Linked DNA regions of Canis lupus familiaris. The protein of the gene in region 2 interacts with the protein of the main gene of each other region in a pairwise test. Links are inferred from orthologs where the notes say so. Each region holds a gene or a part of one and is shown on either strand. Other genes may lie near its edges.

Region 1 (4,141 bases), on a different chromosome or scaffold from region 2:
GAGTAGGTCAATCTCCTGGCCAGGCCTCAGCTGAGCAATGAGGATATCATCATGCACGGGTCTGATCGTGCCCTCTGGGAAGAGGTCAGCCTGATTCCCCAGGGGCACCCATGTCATGTGCCTGGAGTACACTGGAGAAAGCACATCAGGAAAACATCAATCCTTAAAACTAGTACCCATCAAGAGGTGGGCCTTCCTACTCACCATACCACCACTCACCTTTGTGGTTCACATAGAGTTCATTGGGGTCAGAGGAATCTTTAGCAGCATGGGGGTTCCGTGTGCACCTGACTTGAAGCCGAAACTGCAGAGTATCTATCTCTGTGCCTTCATCATCCCCTGAACAAAGGATGAAAGTGGCAGCTCTTAAAGAACGACTGAGTATTTGAGTGCATTAATCTACACTTCTCATTTACTCCTCGGACAAATTTCCAATTTCAGAAGACCAGGGCAAGTGTTCACACAGATCAGAACTGATGTACCAAAACATTAGTGATTTGCTCATGGTCACAGTAATCAAGCCAGGATTTGAACGTAGGCAGTAGATCCTCTAGAATCTACTTTAGGAGACAGCTGTTCCCATTTTGCCACAATTTCGTTTTCTCAAGCGCTGACCTTGGTTCCGATACTCAAAAAGACGAGGATCAGCATGAATGGGAATAAGCCCCAAGCGATGAGCAAGGATCTCATCCTGGACAATGGATGTGTTGTTGTACACCAGGACCTTTTCCACAGCCATGGTTGGCACCTGCCCAAAAAATAAAATCATTCATCTACAGAGACCCTACAGACTCCCTATTTACTCCTACTTCCTGACACAGGGGGCCCTATTCCCAGAAAAACACCTGATGAAAAGTTCAGGAGGAATGCTCAGGAAAATGAAAGGAGCAACCTAAGAATTCTCCAAGTAAGGTGATGGCTCAGTTTCCACCCAACTCCGTCCCTGCCACCATGCCCACCAATAAATACCTCAGCTAATAAAATGCGTCGAAAAGCATTGGCAATGGCTGCATCAATTCCCACCATGTCGAACTCCAATGAGTTTTCATCCATGTGCACTACATCCACACGGAAATTCTACAGGGACAGAAAATGCACTAAATGAAGCCTTGGCCTCTGTGGAATCAATACCGTCCCTCTGGATATCCCCCAGCCCCAGCAACAATGTTCCCACTCACCCAAGAACCTCCCTTTGGCCAGATGTACCTCATAGCTGTTCCCTTCTCCCCCAATTCTTCATGAACTTCTTGAAAAGTTCCCATTTTTATCCTCTATTCATTTAAATCCTCCAACCAGACCACCCACAGAGACCATTCTACTCTGTCCTTTCTTACTAGACTCCTCCATCGGGCATTGATAGAATCCCTCCATTTTCCAACTCTGCCTTGGTTTCTGAGCACCAATCTTCTGGTTCTTTCTCCTCCAATGAATCCTTCTAAATTCACTATCTCCTACCCACTCCATAAAGTCACTATTTTCTGGATTTTTATCTCTCTCCAAAGTGACCTCAATCACGCTCATGGGTTTAACAACTATATATACAGAAAACTCCCAAATTCTCACTTCTCATCTCCTTTCAAACACACATTTTACTGGCCTGCTAGACCTCACATTCAGGAAACAATGCAGCATCATTCCCCTTCCCCAGACCTATTTTTCATCAGTAAATGGCACCACCATCCATTAAAGCAGTTCCTCAAGGTAGGTTATTTTATACTCCCTCCTCACAGCCCACATCAAAACAGTCACCAAATTTATCATGTCTCCTTTTTGCTCTACTTTCCTGATTATCATTTTAGTTCATACCTTCAACCTCAGCTCCTCTATGCAATTCTGTCACAAATCTGACTACCCTCTATGATCTTTCCCAACAGTTAAGGATGCAAATCAGATCACATCTGGCTCAGAGCTCTTCAAAACTTCCCCTATCACCTACAGTGTCTAAGATGCACTTCAATCTTGCCTAGCACTCATGCTGCCCGACTTTACATTCTAGCAATAATAAACTGGACGTTCTTGGAACACAGTTCACAAAGCCTTTATAATGTAGCTTCTAGTCTTCGTCCCCCCACCTTCACCCTTACCCTTTCTCAGATTTTACTCATCGTTCAGGGCTCAATTCAGATGTCATCTCCTGCAGGAAGGAAATCTTCCATACCGCTGCCCCGCTTTCCGTTCCAGATTAAGTGCCCCTCAGGGGTCACCCTAGTCACGACTGTCCTTTCTTATCGCTACCAACCACCTTTACATCATACTGGAGTCATTTATGCGTGCTCTTCAACAAGATTAAACATCTTGTTCGACGAACAGGGCACAGACCATGTACACGGAGGGCCTAGCATATTGCTCAATAAACGTTTTATGAACGCAGCGAATCCCACGGGCAGTTTCCAAAGCACAGGCCGCTCAGATCACACGATCCGTTCCCAATACCCTCTCCAGCCCCACCTACCTTCTCGAAGCGGTCTTGGTCCCAGGCATCATCATAGCCGGAATAGTTACCGGGAAAGTCGGTGGTATGAACCTAGACCAAAGAGAGACGAGTCTGCGAAGGGGCAGGTAGGGCAAACCCGCCCCAACTCCGATCCCAACTCATCCCTCCTGTTCCACTCTCATTTCTCTTGCCGAGTTCAAGGCCACGGGCTTACATTGCGAACCCCGAACTCCCCTAGAACCACGCGGGTCCGCATCTCTTGCACCGCCTGGGCGGCCGCCATCTTCTACCCCTCCACGTGACTAGGGCAGCAAACTGGCGCGCGCGTCCCAGTCGCCCTCCTTCGTCTCCATGGCAACGCACCGCCTCCCGGGATGTTAAATATCGCGAGATTCTGTGCAGCCTCCGTCCACGTCCCCAGCTTCCGGAAGTCGGTTTGGGCCAAACATCCGGGTTTCTCCTTTTTGCGTTCCGGCTGAACCCACCGCTCTTTTTCGCCCCTAGACATCTCCCTCCTTCAGGCCCACGTCTCTCCCACTCCTCCTCCGCGCGCGGGACTAGCGCGGGCTTCAGCGACGGGAGCCCTCGAGGGACATGGCAACTACGGCGGCGCCGGCTGGCGGCGCCCGAAGCGGGGCCGGCCCGGAATGGGGAGGGTTCGAAGAAAACATCCAGGTAATCGCCCCAGGGCTCCGGCTGCCGGCAGCCGCAGGGCCGGCAGCCGTCCTGAAGCGTCGCGGGGACTCTCCCTGGGAGCTTGGAAGTCTGCTCCATTTGCAACACTTGTCCTCTCCTTTGGCTCTTGGTGTACACGGAAGGTAGTGGGACTGGTGCTGACCTCAAAGGTCCAGACTGGTGCTCCAGCCAGAGGGCCTCGTGCCTCTGGGCCTGCCTGCTCTTGCTTTCGAGACAAGTTTGTTGGTCGATCGGGGCCAGGCATGGCGAGGGAGTGGGCGGTATTCACCGGCGCTGGCTAAAACCATGCTGTGTGCACAGCCTTGTTTGGGGATTGGAAAAGACAAAACGGGCACTTTTGCAGCCCTCTGAGGATTTGATAGGGAAGGTAGAAGAAAGACATATATGCAAGACAGGGGGTAGGTTTCCCAGGCTAGAAAAGAGAGCCAGACAACCAAGGATTCTGAGAGCAGATGAGGGGAAGAGAGTGGTATGATCTATGGTGATTCCAAGCCATATCCCCAGCAGTGGAAGAACAAAGTCCCAAATCCTGGGAGGAACGGAGGAGGACCCGCGGATGGAACAGAAAGGGCCTGCACTCTAGAAGCCATTGTCTTCACAGGGTGGGGGCTCAGCTGTGATTGACATGGAGAACATGGATGATACCTCAGGCTCCAGCTTTGAGGATATGGGTGAACTGCATCAGCGCCTGCGTGAAGAAGAAGTAGATGCTGATGCAGCTGCTGCTGAAGAAGAGGATGGGGAGTTCCTGGGCATGAAGGGCTTTAAGGGACAGCTGAGCCGGCAAGTGGCAGATCAGGTAAGCAGGATTGGATCCCTAGCAGGTGGAAAAGTATACTTAGGAAGGCCCCCAAGTGCTGGAGTTGATGTTAAAGTTCACCCCCATGTCGCCTAACCCATTAGAACTGTGTAGAAGGCCAATAGAAAGTGAGCGACAGGGACTATGGCCAAGAACCTCTCGCAGTACCTACCCACTTCACTCCGTCTTCCTTACTGCAGATGTGGCAGGCA
Region 2 (3,509 bases):
GTGGCTCCTCTGCCCCAGGTGGGTGCTCAGGCCGGTGCTGGGCGCATGGGGAGGGGGGACGTCGGACCGAGGATCTGTGCTCTGGAACCCCAGTCTGGGGGACACAAGAGCAGCACCTGTTTATGTAAAGTGCGTCTGCTCAGAGGTGTCACTGCTGTGCTGGACCCCAGAGCGGGGAGAGCTCAACTCTGGTGACTGCCTGGAAGAGGAGGCGTCAGGGGTAAGGCTTTGAAGGTGGGATTTCAGCAGGTGTTGGGAGAGGGCTGCGGCAGGCACTGAATGAGGCCGGGTGTCCTAGAGGAGGTTTTGGGGAGGCCCTGGTGGCTCCCACTGTTTACACAGGGGCTCAGGGGCGACAAGCTTGTGGGAGGGTTACTGCACAGCACCTTGTAATCAAGACCGAACGCACGTCCAACGTCCATGCCGAAGGTTGGCTGGATGGACACTCTTGCTCCTCGATGCCTTTCTGGGAGGAGTGAGGCCTCACTCAGGCACTAGGCTGTGAGAAGTGTGCCCTGACTGCAGCTGGCTGGCGGGGGTGTGGGGTGCGTTAAAGAAACTAGGGAATCCCCCGTGATAGCAATGACCTGAGAAGTAGTGGGGGCTGAGGAGCAGGATGGTCGCGAGCACCTACCCTGGAATGGGGCATCGTCGGATCGGGCACCCCGAGGCCCAGAGAGGCAGGCTCAGGTCTTCTTCCTTTGACCACCACCCTGCTCTGAGCCCAGCCCAGGCCTCCCTGCAGGGGAGGGGCCGACCTCCCTGAGGTCAAACTGTGGCCAAGCCGGCCCAGCTGGCTTCGGGATCAAGGAGTGGCTCTTCCTTCCTTCCTCAGCCCTGTGCACGGCTTCCTACCCAGCAGGGAAGATGTCAGGCCTCACATGGACGGAGCCTGCAGCCCCTGTGTGATTCACACTTGGCTTCCCCCCTGGGTATCACAGTGCCGCCCCCGACCTTTGGCTGCTCACGGGCAAATGTCCGTACACTGGTTTCTGCTCCCAGCCCAATGCCAGCCCAGACCTCTGCTCCCAGCACTACTTACACGACCACGTAGGGCCACGGCTCAGAGCCATCCTTGCAGGTGGGTAGGTGGGTGGCCCCGTGGAGAGTAACCATGATGGTCTCCTTATTAGAGGGGGACAGGTGGCTGGTGATGGGTTCCATGCTCTGGACGGTGTTCAGGGGCTCCTCTGGGCTCTCGGCGACCTGCGGAGAGAGCCAGGGCTGAGTGCCCTCCTCTGGGTGGTTGCCTGTCCTTCCAGCCTCCCTATTAACTCCAGCCCTTTACGGCTCCCCTCCAAGCGCCTTTCCCTGAGTCGTCCCTCCACCCAGTTTGGAACTACAGGGCATTTGCCTTTGGCCCCATTTTCTCCCCACCTCTGGCCCACATCCCACGCACATCCGCCCCAGCCCTGCGTCACTTCCTGCAGAGAGAGACGGGCCTCATCCCTCAAGTCGTCTCACCACTGGGCCTCTGCTTTTGCAGGTGCTTGCATCTGATTCCTAAGTCCTGCCTGCTTTTGAGGTGCTAGCAGCAGGCCTTCCTCAGTCCACCTGTAACCTTAGGCCCTTCCCATGCACGGCCCTTTACAAAGTTTATCCACATCCACGGAGTCACCTGATGCATTAGCAAAAAGAGATGAATGTGTCCCCTCTATCTTCCACCCAGAGAACCCTGCAGACCGGGAAGGCGGAGAGGTGCCTGCCGGCGCACGGGGCCTCTGGGCTGGTGGCCCCAAGCAGACTCACGTGAGAAGGAGTTCAAGAGCCCAACAGTCCACAGCTTGGGGATTCAGGGCCCCAAGCACCCTGAATCCCCAAGCTGTGGACTGTTGGAGAGGAGACAGGAGCAGCCGCCGGTGCAGTCAGAGAAGGCAGCTGGGAAGAGGAGGCCTTACAGGGCTGGGAGGACACATATGGCTGGGAGGACTGGGGAGCTGGAGCAGGGTGCAGGGCGGGGAGGGAGCTCCCACAGCTCAGGGCAGGCTCGCGTTGATTCCGGAGGCACGAGGACTCGCGGAGGGCAGCAGAACCAGCAGTTTGGGAGTAAACACTGTGGGCTGGGGACAGCTGTGGACCTGCACTGCTGTGGCTCGGGCCGCTCTTCCTCTGCACTGGCTGCTGGACTCTCACTCCCAGTGCCAGGGCTGGACGTGGGTGACCCACATCCACCCGTGCTAGGCCTCACCTGGCAGAGGCTGCCCCCGTCCTCATCCCTCTGCTGATCGATCAGCACTAGCTGATGCCCCAGGAGAGAAGCCAGGGACCTCCTCAGCTTGGAGATGGGCCCCTGAAGGGGGTGTGAGGGTTGCCCTTTTATCTAGAAAGTTCGGCCTGTCAGAACCTGCATTCCAAGGCAGGCCCTGGTAGGGGGAGTCCTCAAAGTAGGACGCATCCATGGAGATCAAGAACAATGTCCTGGGTATGCCCGCGTGGCTCAGCGGTTGAGCGTCTGCCTTTGGCTCAGGTCCCGACCTCGGGGTCCCAGGATTGAGTCCCGACATCAGGACACATCGGGACTGTGTCTCTGCCTCTCTCTGTGTGTCTCTCATGAATAAATAAAATCTTTAAAAACCAAACAAAACAATGTCCTGTGACATAGAGGGGAGATGGAGGCCAGGAGAAGAGTAAGGACCCAGTTCTGGGGGTGGGGTGGGCGTCAGTGGATCCCCTGGCCCAGTCCTGATGCGCCCTGGGCGGAGGGAGAGCTCTGGGCCAGTCAGGCTCCGGGAGGCCGCTTCCCCAGCGGGATGCTCCTCCAGCCCTGCTTCAAACCGGGTCTGGGGGTCTGGACTCGGAGCCCTTCTCACCGTTACCACCAAGCACTCAGGTGCGGGACACTGGGTTTCCGCGCTCCTGACTGCTTTCTCACTTCCTCTCCGACCCTGCCTCCGCCCAGCCCGTCTCCCGGAGCAGCCCCGTGATCCTTCACAGTCGGACCACATCTCTCCTCTGCTGCAAGCACCAGCTCCGGTCCATCCAGAGCTTCGCAGTGGCCTGTGAGGACCTGTAAGTCCCGCGAAGGCCTGTAAGGACCTCTGGCCCAGGAAGCCGCCCTCACCTCATCCCTGGGCCCCCTGCCCCTGGCTCCAGGGGTTTCTTGCACACCCCAAGCTGGCTCCTGCCTCAAAGCCTTTTCCAGGCCGTTCCCTCCTCCCCTGCCCGTCCATTCCTGTGGCTTACTCCCTCATTTCCTACAGGTCTCACCTTATCAGAAAGGCCATCTTGGTACAAGCTGTGGTCCTTGCCTAACAAGATGACTAATTAGGAGGTGAGAAGCCCACCTCCCAGGCCCAGAAGTGCCACCCTACAGGGGCCCCTTCCCTCTGACTGAGGAGTGCCCCTTGACTAGGGCCCAGGGGGGCCTGTCACCATCTGCAGAGGTGTTGAGAGTTACTCCTCCCCGCTCCCTGTTCCCTGAGCCAGGCCAGGGTGGGAGGAACAGAGGGAGGTCAGTGCTCAGAGAAAAACCCTACGGGGTGGGGGGTGGGGGTAAGCAGGCACAGGGC
Region 3 (4,280 bases), on a different chromosome or scaffold from region 2:
GACTCTTGATCTTGACGTTGTAGATTTGAGCCCCATGCTAGGTGCAGAGAATACTTTAAAAAAAAAAAAATCTTAAAAAAAAAGATGTAAGTCTGTGAAAGGAAAATTTGTGGGGTTTGTGGGTCTGATCTGTAGGGACATGGGGCACCTCCAGGGAGTGGGTGAGGCATCAGTGGCCATGGGAGGACTGGGCTGGGGGGCAAAGAGGGAGTCCCCCTTTGAAGAAAAGCTGGGGTTCCACTTCCCCAGCCAGCCCCTCCAGAAGCCTCCCTGTGTGGGGTGGGGGAGGGGTGTCACATGATGACGTGGGAAACCAGGGTGTTGAGAAAGTTATGAAAAGGGAAGTGTGGGGATCCCTGGGTGGCGCAGTGGTTTAGCGCCTGCCTTTGGCCCAGGGAGCGATCCTGGAGACCCGGGATCGAATCCCACGTCAGGCTCCCGGTGCGTGGAGCCTGCTTCTCCCTCTGCCTGTGTCTCTGCCTCTCTCTCTCTCTGTGTAACTATCATAAATTAAAAAAAAAAAAAAGGGAAGTGTGGTAGCCCGTGGAATCTGGGCTGCCTACCCCAGAGGCCAGCCATACCTACCCCCCCAGCTGTCCCCAACCACCCAGGGAAGGGGTGCACAGGCCGGGCCAGCCTTTGAGACACCTGTGCCCTTGGGCTCCCCCAACACCACCAGGCCCTTTAAGACTCCCCAAACATACCACCCCCAAACCCTGCCGACCCCCTACCCGGAAGCTGAAACTCAGCAGTACAGGAAGAAGATCACATGCACTCACACAGCTGCACTAGCAGAAGAAACCAATCATGAGTCTCTGGGGAGTAACCTCTGACTTCCTAAATGAGTATTCCAAGCTCAGCCAGCCCTACTAGTTCAATGGGATGGGCCCAGAAGATGTTACCCTGCCTGGAGGGGCAAGACTAGTAATGTCTATTGAGCTTCAGGATGCCTGGTTGGCTCAGAAGTTGAGTGTCTGCTTTTGTCTCAGGGTGTGATCCTAGGGTCTGGGGATCGAGTCCCGCATCAGGCTCCCTGCAAGGAGCCTGCTTCTCCCTCTGCCTGTGTTTCTGCCTCTCTCTGTGTCTCATAAATAAATAAATAAATAACATCTTAAAAAAAAAAAAGTTTGTTGAGCCTTTCCCGGGCCAGTTACAATACTCTATCCTATTTTCTTTCTTTTTTGCAACAGCCATCCAAAGTACTAATTACCTTTACTTTGAGGCTCAGAGAAGTTCGGTAACATGCCCTTGTCATATATCCAGTCATGGAGATGACAGGCTTTGAGAGCTACAAAGCATACCAGACTTGGGTTCATGTCACCAGGTGGCACCATGCACAGTGCCCAGGAATGGACCCCTGAACCCCAGGAGAGTAGAGGCCTGGGGTCCAAGCAGAGGAGGGAGACAGAAGCATTTTCTGAGCAGGTGGACAAGGCAGGACAGAAATGAGAAGCACAGGGGTGCTGGATACTGCACTGGGGTGCTAGTCCTAGAATTGCCACCACTGATGGTGAGAGCCTCAAAAGTTGCTGTCTTGGGGCCTCAGTTCCCCCATGAGTCTGTGTGGACACTGCACACTGGGTGTGGCGACGACTTACACCCAGCCAGTCACTTGCATCCTTCTCTCCCTCACCTGGCTCTCTTCGCGGCCCCAGTCCCAGCTCAGAGACCGTTTCCAGGGGACACCGCCTGGCTGGTCCTATACCTTGGCCCCTTTCACCCTCTCCTCTACACTCACAGCTCCAGGCAAGACTCGTCCCGCCTACTTCTTGGGAGTCACACCTCAACCTTCCGTAGGCTGTCCCTTGTCCTGGCTTAGGCCGGAAGAGGTGCCTGTCTGCACAAATCTGGGACCACGGGGCAGTCTTTGGCATCCTAAAGTTAGGGAGTACAGCGTGTGCTTCTAGTGGATACCAATGCACAGACGCGCGCACACACTCACAACCAAGGATGACCTCTCTCCCGCCACCCCCCACTCCCAAGGTAGAGAGGGACAGGAGCCTCTCCAAGCCCCCAGCTCTGCCATCTTCCACTAGGTGGCAGCCCCCAACTCCCAGCGTCAGGAGAGAGATTCCCAAAAGGTGAGCCAACCCAACTGCGAGTGAGCAGGAAAAGTGGCCGGGAGAGGCGGAAGTTGGCTGGTCCCACCCCCCACGAGAGGAAGTACGGGAGCGGCAGACCCAACCCCCGCGTTCGGTCACCACCCCCCCGGCCCTGCTACCCTGGAGGGGGCAGGGCCACCAGCCCACTCGCAGCCCTCTGAGCTCCAGGACCAGGGCGCGCGCCTCTCTCGCTCCCAGTGCCCCGGGGACCACCCAGCACCACCAGCAGCAGCACCAGCAGCACCAGCAGCAGCACCCGGACCGGCCCGGAGCCGGCTCAAGAATGGGGTGGTCCCTGCTCTGGGGAAGGGGCTGCAGCTTCCGGAGCCGCTGGAGAGGGAGAGAGCCCCCTTCTCGTGGGGGTCACTGCAATCACTGCTTACCCCCGGCCCCCCGTAAAACTGCCTCCTGTGCATCGGAAAGCCCCAAAGGAGCTTCTCTGAGCCAGTCTTCTCTTGCCTCCCGGCTGAAACTCCAGACGAGCCTCAAGCCCTCACGTCCGCCCGGCCGAACTGCCGAGGAAGCGAGAGGTCTGCGCGGCCACCCTCCTTACCTGTGACCGGCCCCGCGCTCGCTGCGAAGCCGGGCCGGGCAGCTCGGGACTAGGGCCTGCGGCGCGACGGCCCGCCCACCTCCGTTCCCATTGGCCAGGCGTCCGGGCTGTCGCGCTCCTACTGGCTGCTGCTCGACGGTAGAGGCGGGGCCAGCCTGCAAAGCTCTGCTTTTTTTTCTTACTCAATTCGCGGTCGTCCCTCCCTTCTTCTCGCTTCCCACCCTCCCCCCTCCACTGTTTTATGGGATCATGTGATTGGAGAATCATGTGACGTCCTGGCCGGGCTCGGCCGGGCTGCGGGCGCCTGGCGGAGTCTTCCCGAGGTGGTGTGGCCCCGGAGTGCGTTGGCCGGCGAAGGGAGCTGCCCCTTAGGGGGTGCACTCCAGGGCGTTTACAGGATGTCTGCTTCTGGGTTAGGGACACCTGTGCATCCTGTTTCTTTTGTATTCAACGAACTCAGAATAAATGCTGGGCAGCCAGGCCCCGAAGGGAGGGTTGTGAGGGCAAGGATAGACAGCTCTCAGGCCCTTTCCTCAGGGTGCTCCTGGCCGGGTGTGAGTGGGTAGAGAGATGAGACAGGCTCACGTTCAATCTAATTTAAGGTGCAAGATCGTGTGCCAGGTATTAATGGATGTGTGTAGGGCAGAGGTGGAAGATTGGCTCTTGGCAGGGAGGAAAAGATTTAATTCTACCTTAAGGGCACTTTAAAAATTATTTATTTATTTATCTGAGAGAACGAGCATGAGCGGAGGGAGAGGGAGAAGCAGACTCCCTGCTGAGCAGGGAGCTGGACTGGGGCTTGATCCTAGACCCTAGGATCATGACCTGAGCCAACGGCAGATACTCAACCAAGTGAACCACCCAGGCGCCCCTTTAAGGACACCTTTTGGAGCTGAACCTGGGAGAATGTTAACTGGCAGGTGGACAGGGGTTGGCAAAGCTCCTGAGCAGGGGGTGTTAGGAAGAGCATTAGGAAACCAGATGGGAAGAGCAGCGTTGGGCAGGGATTAAATGCCAAGTACAACGTAGTGGGCTTGAGGAGCTGTTGGGTGCCTGACACGAGGCTTGGGCTGGGGGTGGGAGCATAGTGGAAGTGGCTTCCTCGTTAGAGTCAGCCTTGCCTTCCAGGAATTGAAATAACCGGTGAGGAGAGAAAGGTACTACACAGAACAGATTGGCCAGCAACAAGAGCCAGGCTGCTCCGTGCCAAAAGGCCATTTTGGCTCAGGCCAAAAATGGTTGATAGATGCACCAGGAAAGAGGAGAGGCCCAGAGAAAGCCCAGTGCCAGGCTAGGGGGACAGGCAGTGTTTGGTGGTACAGTGTGGATGGAGAGCACCACAGGCTCAACAAAGAGCTTGGGCAGAGGGGTGGCTGGGGGAGATGACAAACACCCCAATTCAGGGGTGGTGGCATTCTGTGTGTGGGAGTAGCAGGGTTGGGGAATTGTGTGTGGCAGTGGTGCTCAGCCTGGGGCTAGAGAGGGTCTGGAGAGTGTGTGAGGCTCCTGCTGAGAATCAGGACAACCCTGTACGCTAGTGACATTTGTACACAGTTTACCTCCTGAGTATCCTGAGGCAAGGGGAGGTCCCATTTATGCTTCCATTAATAAAGTATGGGCACACA
Region 4 (4,272 bases), on a different chromosome or scaffold from region 2:
TACTTTGCAGGTGGAGGTGCTCGCCTCCCGCACAGAAAACCTGGAGATAAGCAAGAACATAGGCAGGTGAGGGGTGGGATTTACACAGGGGTGATGCGGCATCCTGTGGGCCTCTCCCCCCCCCCGGACAAGCGGCCGCCCGGGAGGAGCCCGCCACTCGCCGCATTTCCTCCCTGTCCACCTGCCCTTGGGTACTGAGGCCGGCTGTCGGCTCCTCCCTGTCGGAACATCTGTAGCCAGTGCTGTGCACGCACCCTCACCTGCATTTATGGGGGAGCTCTCTGCATCCCGTGGGGGCACGCTTCTTTGCCTAGTTACAGCAGCTTTGGGTCACGAGTCAGGGAGCAAACCCTACCAGTAAAGCACAAACGTGCCCGTGGGTAGCATGCGATCCCTACCCCAACCCCAAAGCAAGAAGGGAGAGCGAACAAAGCCAGATGTTGCTCGTGGAGACCCAAGGCCTGGAGGCTCCCAGCCCAAGTCCTTCCCAGCAAAGAGAGCCCACACGTTAAAAATAAATGGTCTTTTTATTGTGTCCACGAAAACAAAGTCAGGGTGGCCTGGGTTAATCCCCCCCGACGAGGTGACAACAGACAGGAGGCATGCAATGACAACAACCATGTTCTCCTCTCCAGGAGAAGGGTCTTACCCTCCTGGGCCCTGGATCAGAGGCAAGCAGGACCAGGAGACTCCAGAGGAAGGCCTGCCCGGGCCCGCCATGCCGCGGAGGGCCTGGGCTTGCCACCTCCTGGGCAGAACGAGGCAGGGGAGCAAGCACTGCCCTGGGCCAAGCCCAGCACACCGAAGCTAGAACACACAGAAAAGCCCCCACCCCCTCCCCCAGCAGACACTACTAAGGCAGTCAGCCAGGACTTCCGGGAACAGCTGGCCACGAAGCCAGCCCCTCAGGGCTCCGTCCAGAAGGGATTGCCATCCTCAGCCTGCATGGAGTAGTAAACAAAGAGCAGGAAGGCAGCAAAGACCAGGAACAGGAGCAGCTGGCCCCAGAGTGGGACCTGGCGGTCCTGGCCCAGACCAGCCCCAGGGGCCTGCTTTTCTGGCCGGATAGCACGACGGGTGAGCCACGAAGTGGGGGAAGATGAAGATGAGGATATGGGAGAGGTGGAAGAGGGTGTGGGATAATAGGACAGGCCCAGGGAGCTTCTGGAGATGTTGGAAACAGGGCGGTAGTGCACGATGTTCTGGTAGGCGCTGTCCCGGCCATACCCGGAGCGTTCCCTGAGGCAGAGGACAGCAGGTGAGCCAGGGGGCCTGCGCCCAGAACCACCCGCTGCCTGGCCCTTCCTGCCACTCACCTGTCCTTGCTGTCCTCTTCAGAAGAGAAGAGACTGTCATCGCGCACCTGCAGGTAACAGTCAGGGAGAGGGGAACTGGCCAGCAGAGTCAGCAGCCTGTAGCCTGTCCCGTCCTCACTGCAAACTAGCCTAGCTGAAACACCCGGACCCTGTTCCCTCCAAAACCCTCCTGAGTTACCAGCCTTAGCCCGGTAGGGCTTTGTCACCCGCTCCACAACTCGACAGGTATCCTGGCCGCCTGCACCTTACTTTCTGCCCCGGGGGGTCTGAGAAAGATCTCAAACCTAGATCCCAGGTCAGGGTGCACGGCGTCCCAGGTGCCCTAGTGTTAGGTCTGACACTCCCCCAAGGACGGCCCTGCCAAGGGAGGTGTGCACTTACCTTGCCTCTCGGGAAGCACAGGGCCTACCGCGTGCGCCCCCCCCCCCCCCCCCCCCCGTCCAGGTTTTGTCCAAGCCCAGCTATGACCCCCACAGGTTGTATGCAGGTGCTCGGCAGCCAACTCACCTGGTGGTGAAAGGTGTCCGAATCTGCGAGTGAAGCTGATGGCTGGCGGAAGCCCTTGGAGGAGCCCACAGGCTCAGGGTCCCCGTAGGTCCTGGTGCTCAGGTAGCTCTCCTCGTAGTAGTCATCGCCGTAGCCTTGGGAAGGGGGGGAGAGCGGTAGCAAGGTGCACAGTGGCTGCGCCCACCTGGCCCTAATCTCAGTCCCACGTGGGAGCCTGTGGCACCGTCTCTCCCCTCTGGGGCTGCTGAGGATGACGGGCTTGAGATCCCAGGTCCCCCCAACACCAGGCTCCCTGAGGGAGGGGGTAAGGGTGACAGGGTGCCCCCCCCAGGGTGCCCCCCCCCCGCCCGCCCAGCCTTACCCTTGCTCTGGTAAAGCAAGGCGTCTTCTTTCTTGGGCAGATCGTACATATCCGAGTCCACGGATGCCGAATCTAAGTCTGAGGGGGGGGGGGCGGGACCATTTGCCCCCGGCTCCCCTCCCTTCTTCCTGTGCCCCTCCCAGCCACCGCCCCTGCCACACCCTCCGGACCCCGTGCCCCCCGTCGCCCAAACCCCGTCCCCCTGGGAGGCCAGGTGGAGATCCGGGGCGGGGGCCTCACCCGAGAACCGATAGGAGAAATTGAAGGCGGACGAGTTGGGGGGCGACAGCCTCCGCCTCTGGGTCTCGTACTCGAAGATCTTCTTTTCGTAGAGCTTGCGAGTGGAACCTGGCCAGACACGGGACGCGGGGCGTCAGGGCCGCGGGCCGGACCCCGGGGGGGGGGCGGGGAGGGGGCGCGCTCGCCGCCGCGTACCCACGACAGGCCCGTGCGGGATGTTGTACTGGCGCAGCACGGCGGCCAGCTCGGCGTCCGACAGGACCGCGTAGTCGTCCATGGCGGGCGGCGGGGACCCGGGGGCCCGGGCCTGGCGGGCGGCGGGCGGCGGGGAGCTGGGGGGGCCCGGGCCTGGCGACGCGGGCCCAGCTACCGCTGCCTCCGAGCACGGCGGGGGCGGCGCGAGCGTCTCGGGAGCGGCAGCGCTCGCGTCACGCCTGCGTCACGCTCGCGTCACGGCCGCGGGCTCTGCGGACTGCGCGCGGGGCGGGGCGGGGCCGGGCCGGCGGCGCCGGCGCGGAGCGGGGGACCGTGGGAGCGGGCGGGGCGGGCGTCATGACGTCAGACGTCGCAAGCGGGCGGGATAGGCTGGCGGCGGCGGCGGGGCGGGGCCGCGCTCCGGAGGGGCGGGGCCCGCCGGCCGAGGGGCGTCACGCGCTGGCGCGCAGGGGCGGGGCTCGAGCGAGGAGTCGGGCTTGCGGGGGCGGGGACGAGCGTGGGCTCGCCGCGACGTGGGGGCGGGGCGGGGCGGGCGGTCGAGGCGTCACCGGCTGGCGTGTCGGGGTCGGGAGGGCGGGGGTGGGGACCTACGCAAGTCGAACCGGCAGAAACCGGCCAGGACAGGAAAGCGGCGCAGGACTGACGCGCTGGGCGCGGCTCGCGCTCCCTGAGTCACGCGGGCTCCGACGGTCCCCGCAGCCCCCTGCCCCCTCCGCACCCCGCGCTCCCCGGCCGCCCCGGGCCGGCCGCGCCTCCGCCGCAGCGCGAAGGGACCCCGATCCCGAGAGCGGGCCCTCGGGGCCGCGGGGCCCAGGCCCGGGCAGCAGCCGCCTCGGCCCCCGGTGCCACCCCGCCCCGCTCCGCTCTCCACCTGCGCCCGTCGTCCCGCAGGTCCCCAGCGCCTCCCACCCTCCCTCCCTCCCTCCCTCCCACTGCGCCCGGGAGGAAATGGGGCACTGGGCCAGGAGGCCGCGGGCACCCCAGGAGCGGGCATCCTTGCAAGGCACTGGGCGTGCCCGTGGGCGCTGGCAGGGGGCCGAGCCCGGCGTGCGGGCGGCGGCCAGCGTGCGCCCGACCCCCGCGCCAGCCACCTGGGGCGTCGGGGCTTTCCTCTGCTGTCCAGGGCGTCCCCGTGGCAGCCTGGGGGGGCGGGGAGCCTTCAAGCCCCCGACGACCTGCTGGGCCGGCTCTGCGCGCTTGGGCCTGGGTGGGCCCCGGGGTGAGCCGAGCACAGGGGGCCCCGGCGTACTCGCGGGTGAGCGCGCGAGGTTGCAAGGCCGTGGAGAGCCTGCACTGTCATTAGGAATTCGTGAAGGCCTTGGTCGCAAAGAGCTGTTCTGGGGGGATTGGAAAGGTGGTGACAATCATATTCTAAATGAAGCCAACTCAGGGAATGTGGGTACAAATGAAGCGCCCCCCCCCCCCGGAGGCCCAGAACTAGGAGCATAGGGAGAAGAGGTGCTATCTTTGATATCAGATGATAGCTAGTGACAGGGACAAGAGACAGGTCTCCGATTCATCCTGGTCCAGCTGGTGAGGGTCACAGACCAGTTCTCCTTGGGTCACAGGATGGAGAAGAGGAAGCCACACAGGGAGTGGTGAGATGGGGCCTTGGTGTGAACACACACACAG
Region 5 (3,950 bases), on a different chromosome or scaffold from region 2:
AACCAAGCTAGTGAGAGGGTTCGGTCCAGTTCCACCACGCTGTGTGTCTGCCCTCGGGCAGGTACTCAGCCTCTGTGACCCCTTCTTTCCCTGTCTCTAAGTCCGGGGTCTGAGGGTTCACGACATCTTGATTCTACACATGCTCTAAGCAGGGATCACGGAGTCTCTCAGTCTTGTTTTGCTGTACCCAAAAGTCATGCTTCTGTGACCATGAATTAGGTTCAGAAGGTGACGGAATAAGGAGTCAGGGGAATGTAAAAAAAAACCCCAAAAACCAAAAAACCCCACCCCACTGAATTAATCATGACCAAAATATCAGAATATAACTTTCCGTAATACACACCTCAAGAACTAATTACTAAAATAATAGTAGTAATAATACTTCAGAGGAGAGTCAGCTGTAGGAAAACTGGGTGAACCGGTGAGGCTGAGTCATAGGGCCCCATACCTGCCTCGGCCTCAGATGGGGAAGAGTCTCCAGGTGGGGCTTCCTAGAGCTTCTTCTCTGAGGACGGCACAGTATCAGGTCCAGAGAGGGCCTGGGGCATTCTATCAACAGATGCTCGTTGATACCTCGGGTGCCAGGCGCTGCGCCAGGTGTTGGGGAGCCCTGTGGAACCCTGCGGACACGGCCCCCACTCTCACTGAGCTGACACTCCAGCGGGTAGGGAGATGATAAACCATCGTCCCAAATGACTCAGTGATAAGGGGTACGGGGGGGGGGGGGGGGGGGGAGGAAGGGACCCAAGGGAGGAGGCCGCAGGAGCCCCTCACGCCTCCGCCCTCGGCCCGGGGGGAGCACGAGGCCTCAGCAGCAGCGACCTGCTCAGGACCGGAGTCGGAGGGCGCCGGGTGGACGTGGACTTGGAAGGGACACCTGTCTTCCTGCAGAGCCCGGCTTTCTCGCCGGCCCCTCCCAGCGACGGCGGGTTTTCCTACGCCGTGGAGCCCGCAGACCCGAGCCCCGAGGGAGCGGGAGGCAGCGCCCGAGCACCGCCCGCCCCGGGCACGGGGTCGCCTCCGCCCGCCCGCCCGCGCGCCCCAGGCCCGGGAGCGGCCCGGGAGCGGCCCGGGGGCGGCCCGGGGGCGGCCCGGGGGCGGGGCCTGGCGAGGCGGCGGCGCGTCCGGCAGGTGGCGGCAGCGAGCGGCCGCGCCCCCCGCGCCGCCGGCCCGCGAGCCCGCACCATGGAGGGCGAGCTCTCCGGTTTCGCTGCGCTCGCCTCGGAATTCGAGACTGCGGACGAGGACCGGGATGCATGAGCCGGCCGCGGGGGCCCGGGCAGGGGCCTCTGGCTCCCGACGCTGGCCGAGAGGTGGGTCCCGGGGCGCTGGCCGCTCCCGAGGCCGGGCGGGGACGCGCTGCCCCCGCCCTGCCTCCCCGCGGTCCACACCCCCTTTGGGCTCGGGAGCCGCGGGGCCGGAGGCGTCGGGGCGCGCGCGGCGGGGCGGGCGCTGGGGGCCCCGCTGCCCGGGCCGGTGCGCTCCCCCGCGCTCCCCGCGCTCCCCGCGCTCCCCGCGCTCCCGCCGCCGCCGCCGCCGCCGCCCTCACCTGCGCGCGCCGGTCCCCGGGCCCCCGAGGCCGGCGGCTGCAGCCCGGCCCGCGAGGGGACGGCCGCGGGGTGAGAGCACCTGAGGATGCGGAGCTGGCCCTGGACCGCCTTTTCACCCCCCAGGTGATGAGTGAGGCCGGGAGGTCGCGAGCTTCCAAGAGCAGCCGGGTCCTGCGTCTTGAATGAGAGACCCAGTGCGAAGGCATCACCATGAACACGAGCAGTAAGTGGGTCCTCCTCTCCTTTGCCATGGGAACAGGCTGGGGGCGGGAGGGGCGGGAGCTGGAGGCAGCCTGGCATCGCGCCGGACACGCGGCCCCCAGACTCCCTCTTGGCCCCTTCCGTGCGCCCCGGAAGGGGGATGTGGGTCCGGCTTTTCCTGACAATTTTGCTCATGTTTTATTGGCAGCAGCACTTGCCTCTGCGGGGAAGGCTGCTCGTCTCCTTCTAGCAATGCCTGGGAAGGCCTAGGAAGCACTAACGAACGTGGCCATTGTCTGGCTGTGGGGGCTCTAGGAGACCTCCCTGCACACAGCTGGAGAGCCATGGAGGGGCCCGGCTTGTCCTGAAGCCGAGAGGAGCAGGGAGGCCGGCCCCGGGCTGGTGGTGGCTGGTGGTGGGTGGATGTGGGCAGGCAGTGGGCTGGGAGCGAGCAGTTTGATAAACAAATCGTCAGGAAGCCACCTTTGGGTCTAGAGATTGTGAAATATCCTGCTCCTGTGCCTGCAGCCCCACGGCCGGGGCTGATTTCTGCACACACCTGCAGGCCGCGTAGCTATCCCGAGAGGAGAGAAAAGAGACAAGCCCTTTGGCCAAGATCTCTAACATGCCAGGGGTAACAACTGCTTTGCAGAGACAGGACCAGACATTTTGCTGCTGGGCTGGGCCTCAGCTGCTGAGAAATGCAGGCAGAAATACAAGGAGGCCCTGTATGTGTCTCTTCAGTGTGGTCCCTGTGACCATGGGCACCCACTGTGACCACCACCCTGGAGAGGAGATCTGGGTTCAAGTCCTCCCCCTCCCGCCTCCTCATCAGCTCAGCTTGTCTGGGTGCTCCCAGGAGCAGGTGGGATCGTTGAAGCGGAGGACCCAAGGAACATTCGGTTCCCTGGGTCTGTGACTTTCCCATCAGTCTCCTCTCTGGATCCCAGATTGCTGGTCTGTGAAATGAGAAGGGTTGAATCTAAATCTGTAAGTTTCTTTTTAAAAAGCGAGAGCCGAACAGCAAGACCAGAAAAATCAGTACCTTCTGAGGCTGTGTCCAGACCAAAGCCACCGTTTCTCCACCCTCCCTCCATTTCAAGGCTGTTGGCCTGGAGGGGAGGAAAACAAAGCAAAAGCCAGTGAGATGGAAATGAAATATATTTATTTACTATGTATTTGTATGACTCATCCCTCTGCTCTCTTCCTTTGTGTATTACATAGCTCTGCTAAGCGAGTGTGGCTGAACTCCCTCTGCCTCTTCCAACCAAAGAATTTTGCCTCTTGATTGTGACAGGCAGGAACGGTGCTTTGGCTTCACACCGGGCTCTGGAAAAGAGCAAAATTCTGTAGATCTGATCACCTAGGTGGGCCACATGTTTCCCCCTGCGTGCTTTCAGACGAGTAAAGATGTGAGCCGCCTGTCACTTCTCACTATCTCTAGGGGAAAGATGTAGTTATGGGAGTCCTTTCTCACTACATGATAGGAGAGAAAGATGGCTCATCTGTTTTTCAAAAAACTAAGAAATAAGTTCACAAGCAGCTGGCCTTACCCTTTTGTCTTGTCCCATTAGCAACACCGAATATGCCTGAAAGAAGGAAACAGCTTTTACTTTTTTTTTTTTTTAAACAAACAACAACCAATTGAGCTGAATACCGCAGGAGACAAGGACTCACAAAAATGCTACTCCAGCCTCGTATACTTTTTTCTAAGTAGGGAGAGTGTGTTTATTTTCCAGAGGTAGTGGAAAATAAACAGAGTAGCATGACTTGGGTGACCGCTGAGGTCCCCGTAAGAAGTGCTCCTCTAAGGGCTACCCTGGGGAGCACTGTGGCCACTGGTGCTCAAGGCTTGGAGGCGGGGCTCCATCATCCCTGAGGCTGCTTCCAAGCCTGAGAGTCTGCAAATGGAGAATATAGAAGTCAGACCTCATATGAGCGAAGCAATGCCAAGGCCATAGGGGCTGGGCGTTGGCAGGAAGTCCTTGAGGTGACCTGATCAAAGCAAAAATGCTCTCCCCTTGGGGATGTAAAATTCTTACTTAATCCTGGTACCTGAAATGGAACCTAAGAGACAATCTTACTCAGTTTTTCTCTCCCTTCCATTTATTGGATCCTCACCCTCCACCAGTCACTGTGCTCAGCATCGTACCTGTATGATCTCCCCAACTGTCACCCGCACCCTGGGAGATGGTGGTA

The links.
Region 1: the proteins of CCDC33 (region 2) and POLR1C interact in a two-hybrid assay, tested with the Homo sapiens proteins (2 studies listed by BioGRID). The two-hybrid records come from large-scale screens. The link is inferred for Canis lupus familiaris from reciprocal best matches to the Homo sapiens genes CCDC33 and POLR1C.
Region 3: the proteins of CCDC33 (region 2) and GRN interact in binary tests that used the Homo sapiens proteins (3 or more experiments, as listed by UniProt). The two-hybrid records come from large-scale screens. The link is inferred for Canis lupus familiaris from reciprocal best matches to the Homo sapiens genes CCDC33 and GRN.
Region 4: the proteins of CCDC33 (region 2) and EMD interact in binary tests that used the Homo sapiens proteins (3 or more experiments, as listed by UniProt). The two-hybrid records come from large-scale screens. The link is inferred for Canis lupus familiaris from reciprocal best matches to the Homo sapiens genes CCDC33 and EMD.
Region 5: the proteins of CCDC33 (region 2) and ABLIM3 interact in a two-hybrid assay, tested with the Homo sapiens proteins (2 studies listed by BioGRID and IntAct). The two-hybrid records come from large-scale screens. The link is inferred for Canis lupus familiaris from reciprocal best matches to the Homo sapiens genes CCDC33 and ABLIM3.

The regions. Positions count from the first base shown.
Region 1 is NC_049233.1:12,166,415-12,170,555, reverse strand, and holds the start of POLR1C (DNA-directed RNA polymerases I and III subunit RPAC1), read right to left. Parts: upstream 2,809-4,141; 5' UTR 2,718-2,808; coding exon 2,649-2,717; intron 2,525-2,648; coding exon 2,453-2,524; intron 1,078-2,452; coding exon 970-1,077; intron 749-969; coding exon 616-748; intron 340-615; coding exon 220-339; intron 132-219; coding exon 1-131. Other genes in the region: protein YIPF3, read left to right, coding at 3,029-3,109, 3,732-3,929, 4,130-4,141. UniProt on the Homo sapiens protein: DNA-dependent RNA polymerase catalyzes the transcription of DNA into RNA using the four ribonucleoside triphosphates as substrates.
Region 2 is NC_049251.1:37,827,566-37,831,074, reverse strand, and holds part of CCDC33 (coiled-coil domain-containing protein 33), read right to left. Parts: intron 1,207-3,509; coding exon 1,043-1,206; intron 1-1,042.
Region 3 is NC_049230.1:18,957,483-18,961,762, forward strand, and holds the start of GRN (progranulin), read right to left. Parts: upstream 2,809-4,280; 5' UTR 2,656-2,808; exon of another isoform or gene 2,486-2,655; intron 1-2,485. UniProt on the Homo sapiens protein: Secreted protein that acts as a key regulator of lysosomal function and as a growth factor involved in inflammation, wound healing and cell proliferation. Regulates protein trafficking to lysosomes, and also the activity of lysosomal enzymes.
Region 4 is NC_049260.1:123,237,315-123,241,586, forward strand, and holds EMD (emerin), read right to left. Parts: upstream 2,791-4,272; 5' UTR 2,702-2,790; coding exon 2,620-2,701; intron 2,533-2,619; coding exon 2,425-2,532; intron 2,263-2,424; coding exon 2,185-2,262; intron 1,958-2,184; coding exon 1,824-1,957; intron 1,391-1,823; coding exon 1,317-1,390; intron 1,240-1,316; coding exon 906-1,239; 3' UTR 509-905; downstream 1-508. Other genes in the region: collagen alpha-1(I) chain-like, read right to left, coding at 3,185-3,511, 3,574-3,933. UniProt on the Homo sapiens protein: Stabilizes and promotes the formation of a nuclear actin cortical network. Stimulates actin polymerization in vitro by binding and stabilizing the pointed end of growing filaments. Inhibits beta-catenin activity by preventing its accumulation in the nucleus.
Region 5 is NC_049225.1:60,709,730-60,713,679, reverse strand, and holds the start of ABLIM3 (actin-binding LIM protein 3), read left to right. Parts: upstream 1-1,142; 5' UTR 1,143-1,313; intron 1,314-1,673; 5' UTR 1,674-1,760; coding exon 1,761-1,773; intron 1,774-3,950. UniProt on the Homo sapiens protein: May act as scaffold protein. May stimulate ABRA activity and ABRA-dependent SRF transcriptional activity.